2 linked regions of the Sus scrofa genome follow. The protein of the gene in region 1 purifies or fractionates together with the protein of each later gene. This does not show direct contact. Links are inferred from orthologs where the notes say so. Each region holds a gene or a part of one and is shown in the gene's direction. Other genes may lie near its edges. The genes, in order: ASIC1 and PICK1.

The links.
Region 2: the proteins of ASIC1 (region 1) and PICK1 purify together in Homo sapiens (affinity purification with western blotting; 3 studies listed by BioGRID and IntAct, with this or other methods). This does not show direct contact. The link is inferred for Sus scrofa from reciprocal best matches to the Homo sapiens genes ASIC1 and PICK1.

What each region holds. Positions count from the first base shown.
Region 1 is NC_010447.5:15,963,518-15,968,039, forward strand, and holds the start of ASIC1 (acid-sensing ion channel 1), read left to right. Parts: upstream 1-1,600; 5' UTR 1,601-1,704; intron 1,705-2,583; 5' UTR 2,584-2,599; coding exon 2,600-2,961; intron 2,962-3,557; coding exon 3,558-3,753; intron 3,754-4,522. UniProt on the Homo sapiens protein: Forms voltage-independent, pH-gated trimeric sodium channels that act as postsynaptic excitatory receptors in the nervous system, playing a crucial role in regulating synaptic plasticity, learning, and memory.
Region 2 is NC_010447.5:9,812,518-9,816,316, reverse strand, and holds part of PICK1 (PRKCA-binding protein), read left to right. Parts: coding exon 1-69; intron 70-216; exon of another isoform or gene 217-850; intron 851-2,414; coding exon 2,415-2,468; intron 2,469-3,104; coding exon 3,105-3,167; intron 3,168-3,799. UniProt on the Homo sapiens protein: Probable adapter protein that bind to and organize the subcellular localization of a variety of membrane proteins containing some PDZ recognition sequence.

The sequences.
Region 1 (4,522 bases):
TCTTCAGCTCCCTTCCCTGGCTTCCTGTGTGCCCCCCGCCCCCAACCCCTCACAACTTCTCATCCAACTTCTTTCCACTGTGCCAGCCCCTTTTCATTACGGGTTCTTCATTCTCACTTAAAGCCCTGGGAACACACCTCTCACCTTCGTCTCCCAGAGTGGCACCAGCCTGGAAGTAGAGTGAAGGAGTGGCTAGAGATAGAATTTTGGTCCCCCACACCCCCTTCCTCATCACCTGACACCATCAGACCTCAACAGTCTTCGTGTTGAGAGCCCCTAATGAGCATCAGCAAATTAACAGCTTCGCTTTGATTGCTCCTTCTCTGTTAATTGGGTAGGGAGGGCCCCCCAAGGCCTCTCAGAGAGAAGGAGGGAGGGAAAAGGAGAGAGGTGAGAGCTAGAGGAGAAGCACCCCCCACCCCCCCGCGCGCCTGCCCCCAGGTCTGGTCTCAGTGCCTCAGAATTCTGCTCCACCCCTGAGTACAGCTCCCGGTTCCATCCCTTCCTCATCCTGTTCACCCCCCAACCCTATGTCCTCCCACTGCCCCTTCCTTTCTCTTTCCCTCTTTCTTGACTTCTCTCCAAATTCTCTTGACCTCTGGCTATTTCTCCTTCTCTCTGCTCCTTCTTTAGAGGTTTGGTAGTAAGGAGATGCAAACATGCCCCCCCCGCCCCCACCCCAAGGCAAGGCCAAGGCTCAAGGATAGGGTTTGGGTGGCCAAGCCTGTGTGTTTGTTTACATATGTACATGTGTGTATGTGTCACATGTAGGTGGGGAGCAGGGACAATGAGAACAGGTGAATATTTCTAAGCTCTTGAGTTCCTGCCCTATGCGCCAGGCCTCTGAGGTGTGTGGGTGTCTGTGGAGGGTGCGTGTGGCTGTGAGTGCCATGGTGTGACTCTGGTCTGTATATATGTCTGTGTCTCCAAACGGGCAAGTGCTTGAATCAGTCAAGTGTGAGTCGGAGCTTGCTTGTGTGTGTGTGAGTGTGTGTGCGTGCGCGCGCGCGCATACGCGTGTGTGCCACCAGAGGAAGCAGCAGCAAGAGGAAGGAGCATCGATCCGAAGGAGACAGCGCGGGGAGGGGGACGCTGGGGGCAGACACCTTCCCTCCCCGGCGCGCGCGCGTGCGCGCGCGTACATACACACACTCACACATCACAGTCACACACACAAGCCATAGGGCCTCGCGGACAGGGAGACTGCTCCGGGACTGGAGGGAGGCAGCAGCTCCGAGAGCGGCTGGGAGGAGGGGACGAGGCAGCGGGGGGAGCCCTCGGTCCCGCTCCCCGTTCCGGGGGCCCCGCGCGCACACGAGCCCAGAGACACCCTCGCAGACACTCGTAGGCGCGCACGCGCACCCTCTCCCCTCCCCCTTCGCCTCCCCTCCCGCCGCCTCCCGGCCGGACGATGGATCCCTGCAGATCCCAGGGCTGAGAGCACCGCGTTCCGCGCACCGCGCACCGCGCCGAGCCCAGGCGGACCGAGCCGAGGCGAGCGAGCGAGCGCGCGCGGCGGGCGGACGGAGCCGAGCCGAGCCGGGCCGGGCGGGCCGCTCCCTGCAGGGCTCTGCGCGGCGTGCCGCGGCGGCCGCCGGCTCCCGCTCCGGGCCATGAGCCCCTCCGCGGCTCGGCGCTGAGCCCGCGTCTGGCCCCGCGCCCCAGGACCCGCCGCCGGTTGCCGGGTTCCCGAAGCCCCCTCAGGTGGGTCTCCGGTCCCCCCGCTTTTGGCTGCGGGACTCCCCAGCGCCCCGAAGCCAGGACTTTCCTCCCCTCTCGCTTTCCCCGGCTGCCGGGGCGTCTCAGCGGCTGGGGAGGGGGGCGGGGGCCGAGCAGGGGATCCGGCTGCGTCGAGAAGCTAGACTCAAGGCGTGGGGGGGCGGGGGTTGCGTCCGGGGCGAGGACAGCTCGCTGTCATAGGGAACCGCGCCCCCCCACCCCATGCCTGGGCATCCACCTCGGGCTGCCCTCTACCCCCCACCCCCCCACCCCAAACATGCACACAGACAGCCTGCGCCGATCTGAGGACTGGAGCCGCCAGCAGGTGAGGACTCAGCCTGGGCCCCTCCCCACCTCCCCCCCCCCGGGGGGTGGGGTGGGGGTTGTGGCCCAGGTTTAGCTCACGGGGACAAAAGCTCAATCCTGGGAACACCCTTGCCCAGGAACTCCTGACCCCGGATTCGGCCCATCTGGGGGAATTTGCGTCTCCGGGCTGGGGTGGACATTCCTGTCCCAGAGTGACCCCACATCTGGAAGGAACTCCTGTGCCTGCCTGTGGGAACATTGGGACTTCCCTCTCGTCCTCGGATGACTACATCTGGGGTCTCCCCTGGCCCCGGAGGCTTTCCCGGGAGAGCATTCTTTTGGCCTGAGTTGACCCCCAAGCCCCTGCCTTTGGAGAAAACCTCTTCTGGGAGTATGACCCCTGGCCAGCCACCTCGGGGCTTGCACACCCGAGAAGCCTCCTGCCCCAGAGGCAGTGACCTCTGGAGATGGGGATTCCGGCTGGACACATTTGGAGGGACGCCATGTGTACTCTTACCCCAGGACAGTGACAGACTCCCCCACCCCCCTTTCCCCCAGGATCCCCTCGGCCAGGATGGAACTGAAGGCTGAGGAGGAGGAGGTGGGTGGCGTCCAGCCGGTGAGCATCCAGGCCTTCGCCAGTAGCTCCACGCTGCACGGCCTGGCCCACATCTTCTCCTACGAGCGGCTGTCTCTCAAGCGGGCTCTCTGGGCCCTGTGCTTCCTGGGCTCGCTGGCCGTGCTGCTGTGCGTGTGCACCGAGCGTGTGCAGTACTACTTCCACTACCACCACGTCACCAAGCTCGACGAGGTGGCTGCCTCCCAGCTCACCTTCCCTGCCGTCACGCTGTGCAACCTCAACGAGTTCCGCTTTAGCCAAGTCTCCAAGAATGACCTGTACCACGCTGGGGAGCTGCTGGCTCTGCTCAACAACAGGTGGGCGGCTAGCACCCACCCCTGCTCCCAGACGCCCGAGGGGGTGCTTCCTCTCTAACCCATCATACAGCTCAGACAACCCTGCCCTCCAGCGCCCCCCCACTCAAACCTGCCATTCACAGCGAAGGAATTGGGGTCCTGCCAAGCCCTCGATTAAGGGCACCTAATCTCTGATCCCAGTACGGTTCCAAACAGCTCTGCCCCTATCCAGCCTGAGTTGTGAGACATCGTTCCCCCCTTTAGAGTGACTTTTGCCCACCGTTCTGCCACTGTGTCTCAATTTTCTCCTCACTCGGGGGATGGAAGCAAACCATCTTTAAACTATAGTATAAAAGCCATAGTTCTTGCCTTGATCTCTGCCCCCCCCCCTTACCCATGTGCTGAGATGCCCAGCCTCTGGGCAGCCACTGCAGATCCTCTGTCTTCTTAGACCCCATGGGGCAGGTCCTCTAGACACGCCCAGCTCTCCTTCTGTGCCTCTGCCCAGGGCTGGATGCTGCCCTCCCCCCAAGGTTGGGCGTGGGACACTGGAGGCCAAATGGAAGCAGGAACGGAAGGTCCTGCTGATCCATGCGCTGCTCACCCCTGGGCTCCAGGTATGAGATACCGGACACACAGATGGCAGATGAAAAGCAGCTGGAGATACTGCAGGACAAGGCCAACTTCCGCAGCTTCAAGCCCAAGCCCTTCAACATGCGCGAGTTCTATGACCGCGCAGGGCACGACATTCGAGACATGCTGCTCTCCTGCCACTTCCGGGGGGAGGTCTGCAGCGCCGAGGACTTCAAGGTGGTGAGTGAGTCCCCTGGCTGGTGTGGGACAGGAGTCAGCAGGTCCTGGAGGAGGAGGCGCCTGGGACCGGGAAGGCCTCTAGGGAGGAAGTTGTATGTCCCTAGGGTTCCCTTCTGGCAGAAGAGGAGTTTGTTCTGCTCAGGAGTGCATTTGCTCTTCGTGACAGCCTCAGCCTTGTGTCCGTGACGGCAGGACAGACAGCCCATGGCGCACTGATGTGCGTGTGCACAGTGCCTGGGAGGGTCCCGACCCCATCAAGTTTACCTTCTGGGCTACAGGTGTCGAGCTGGGGGTGGTGCTGGGTACACTGCCACCTTGTTGCTCAAAGTGAGGTCCAAGGACCATCACCTGGGAACTTGAAAGAAATGTAGGGCTTTGACACCCTCTTCCCAGACCTACTGAATCGGAGTCTGCATTTTAACTAGATCCCCGGGTGTGTTGAATGAAAGTCTGAGAAGTACCATGAGACAGGGAAGTAAGGGAAGCTTTCTCTTAAATAGCCTAACAGGTAATTCTCTCTATGCCACACCTCCCTGGCCATCCTCTTCTCCCTCAGCCATTACACACACACACACACACACACACACACACACACACACACACAGAGTCCCGTTGGGCTACCCCTTGCCAGCCCACAGAGTTGGGGTCCGAGGAAGGAAAGATGATTTGGGACACACAATCATGGCTGAACTGGAGACTCCATTTGCTTCTTCTTTTTTTTTCTCGTATGTTTGGGTCACACCTACAGCATGCTGAAGTTCCCTGGGCC
Region 2 (3,799 bases), about 6.2 Mb from region 1:
GGCTGGTGGAGAACATGAGTTCGGGGACCGCCGATGCCCTGGGCCTGAGCCGGGCCATCCTGTGCAATGGTGAGTCCCCCGCTTCCTCCCACCCACCTCTGGCCCTGAGGGGACTCAGACCCAGGCCCGAGGGGGAGGGGCACCATGGCTGCCCAGCAAGCCGACCGGGGTCCTGCCGGCCTGGGCCTGGCCTCTGCTTGTGGGGCTGACATTTACCATCTCTTTGCATCCTTGGAGGCCTCTCCAGCTCCCAGAGAGCGTCCACCACGGTCAGGTCAGAGGAGGCATCTTCCAGCCAGTGTCCCTCACTCCCGAGCAAGGGTCCACAGGTCACAGATGAGGAGACAGACTCACCGTGGGGCTGGGCCTCCTTCCGGCTCCCTGAGCTGGGCTCTCACCCCCGCCCCCAGCTGCTCGCCCACAGCCAGGCCTCAGCCCTCACCCGTGCCCCAGCATGCTGCCTCCACACTGCCCACTCGGCCCCGCCTCTCTCCAGGAGGTGGCGCTGCTGCCCTTGTCCCAGCAGTCCCTGCCCAGGGCTGGAGGTGGCTGTCTGCCTGGGACAGAGGGAAAAGTGCGTCCACGCATATTCACACCCATGCCTGCCTGTGCACACACGCGCTCTCCCTGGGGCGGGGGCAGCGAAACAGTCCTGCTCCTGCCGTCACCAGCCTGGGTTTATAAATAGCAGCAGCTCTGCTGTGGACGTGTGGGGACAGATATAAATACCTATATAAATTGTAGGCTCAGCTGGGCACACTGGGCTTTATTGGCCGGGACGTGGGGGTGGGGTCTGAGCTTGTTCCAAATGGTGCACAAAAGTGGCGGCTGCTATTTCCAGCTCCTCAGTGTCTATAAATCCCTGTTACTGTAGTTACCATGCGTTGCGATGAAATTAGAACTGGTTGTTGTGTTTTTTCCCCCCAAACCTTGCAATTTCCCCAGCCTTAAATAGGGTTTCTAAAATTGAAGCTGTCATGATGTCCCATGACCCAGCTAAAAACAACAGCACGGCGCTTACGTGGCTCCTTCCCTGCCAGGCTGGCCAGGTGCCAAGGCTCTGGGGAGCCAGGGCCTGGAGGCCAGCCGGGTGGCCGAAGCCTCCTGAAGACCTCCAAGGGGCTCCCGTCCAGCCCCTAGCCCCAGCCTTCCTCCCTGACAGCCCGACCGACACACAGAGCCGCCTCTGCCCAGATCCGGCTCCTGTTATTGCCCCCTCTCCCCCCACAGAAAACCCTGGCCCAGGTCAGCACAGGAGACCGGCGGGGGGCGGGAGCAGAGGGCACCCTGGCCTGGTTAGCCCTTGCTGTGTGCCTTTGGACAAGTTGCTTTGCCTCTCTGTCCCTGGTTTTCTCTCTAAGTTGAGGGAAGTAGTCTCTGCCCCAAAGGCTCGTATGGAGGGAGGACCGAGCTGTGTGAGGGCACTCAGTAAGGCCAGGCCCTGCCCTAGGAGGTGCCAGGCCAGGAAGCACCAACATGGGCCTGCCGCGCAGTTGCTGCCGGTGTTCCTGGTGGGGGCGGTGTGGACCTCAGCCCCCTGGGAATGGAGGAGGGCGGGGCTCACTGCAGGTGGGAGCCCCGCCCCATCCTGACAGGAACGCTGGCCCTTCCCTGGCAGTCTGCCTGCCCCCTGTTTGGAGCCCTTGAGGGGAGGCAGCTGCCCCCGCCCCTCACCTTGCAGCCCTTATTGTCCTGGTCCTGGCCTGGCCACTGTCACTGCTGGACTGTGAGCCTTGAAGGCACAGCTGAGACTTCATTCAGCACAGCCCTTCCTGGGCCTCATACGGGGGCTGGCACCCAGTGGGAGCTTGCTAAACGCTGTTAGGCAGATCCCCAAGGCCCGCTCCAGTGCAGGCCCCTCCTGGATTCCTCCCTACCCAGATTGTTCTCCCTTCTGAGCTGGCGGGTGGTGACGGGCGCTGCCTTGAGCCTGCCTTAGAGTCATTGTTGATGCATCCTGTCTCTTGCTCATCTCTGCCTTGCTCCTTGGTGTTGGCAGGGAGGGAGTTAGAAGCACAGGGGCCTTGATGGCTAGGCCTAGGCCTGCCTTCTGCTGGCCGTGGGGAGCCGGCCGTGGGTTTGGCCTTAGGGGAGGCCCAGCGGGTTTCCACCCATGACTTTTGGAAGTACCTGCACCCTCATTGCCTTCCTGCCCCTTTGGTGTGCCCCAGCCTGCCAGGGTGGCGCTTCACTCGGGCGTCCTGAGGGCAGCCCTGCCACCCCAACGTGTCTGGATGTGCTGGGCTCTCTGCAAAACACCAGTGAGCCCGGCTGACCCCGAGGCGCCCAATCCTCTCCCTGGGACCCTGTTCTGTGCCATTCCTGGTCCTCCACCAGGACCACCTTGCCCCTCACAAGCCTGGCGCAGGTGACCCCGGAGCTCTCCCCTCACCCTGGCTCTCTGACCCCTACAGATGGGCTTGTCAAGAGGCTCGAGGAGCTGGAACGGACGGCAGAGCTGTATAAAGGTGGGCAGGCGCAGCCCCGCCGTGGGTGGGGTGTCCCCGTCCAGGAAGCGCCCGGTACTGGCTCTGCCCCGGGTTGGGGGGAGCTCCAGAACCCTGCTCTAAAGATGATGGCAGTGGGGCGGGCATGCCAGCCTAGACGATTCCAGGGCCATGGCTATTAAAAACTCTTAAGGAGGGAGTTCCCGTCGTGGCGCAGCAGAAACAAGTCTGACTAGGAGCGGTGAGGTTGCGGGTTCGATCCGTGGCCTCGCTCAGTGGGTTAAGGATCTGGCGTTGCCGTGAGTGGTGGTGTAGGTCACAGATGCGGCTTGGATCTGGCGTTGCTGTGGCTCTGGCATAGGCTGGCAGCAGCAGCTCCAGTTGGACCCCTAGCTTGGGAACCTCCATATGGCACGGGTGTGGCCCTAAAAAGACAAAAGACAAAAAAAACAAAAACCCTCTTAAGGAAAAAAAATCTTAAGATATACTTTTTCTGATTATAAAAGTAACACGCGTTCATTAAAATCAAATAATGGCACAATAGAAACATAGAAAAATCTGAACATCAGGAACAGTGAGGGGTTTGGAGGCTGTGTCCTGGGCCGTTGCGGTTCCCGCCATGTGTCCCTGTCCCTCTTGGCTGGGTCTCTCGCACAGGGATGACGGAACACACCAAGAACCTCCTACGGGCCTTCTATGAGCTGTCACAGACGCACCGGGGTAAGGGCCCCGCACCTGCTCCGTGACCCCAGAGGAACCCCTGTCCCCGTCTGGGTTCAGCATTTCTCCCACCCCTGTACATGAGGGGGCAGCCAAGCTCCTGGCTGGGAACTTTCTCCTGACACCACAGCCTGTGACCTCAGGCCGGGCTTGGGCTGGGCATCGTCTAGGTGCTGGGATGTAGCAGTGGTGGGCACAGTTGCTCACCCTGGGCCCGGTCCTGTCTCTGTCCGAGGCCTTGCTAGTCCCGGTCTTGTTTCCTCCAAGTCAGTTAGCCAGCAGGGCTGCTGCAGTTACAGTTTTACTCTCGGGAAAACTGAAAAAGCGGTCTCGCAGCTCCTTAGGGCAGCGTTGGCCTCAGGACCAGGTTCCCCGACCAGTGCTCTGTCCTCAGACAGACTCACCTCCTCCAGCCTTGACCCAGCCTCCTCCCGTGGTCTGGTCCCTGGAGAGTGGGGCCAGCTCCTTTGGGTGTAGACTTAGCTTCCTTGGGGCTGCAGGTTCAACTCTTAGAGGTACAGGCCCACTTTCTCAAGGTGTAGACCCCCCTCCCTTGGGGTGTAGACCTAGGACGGCCCTGGGCCTCCAGCCCGCCGTGCCCCCCGCCTTGCTTCTCCCCAACAAATCCCTGG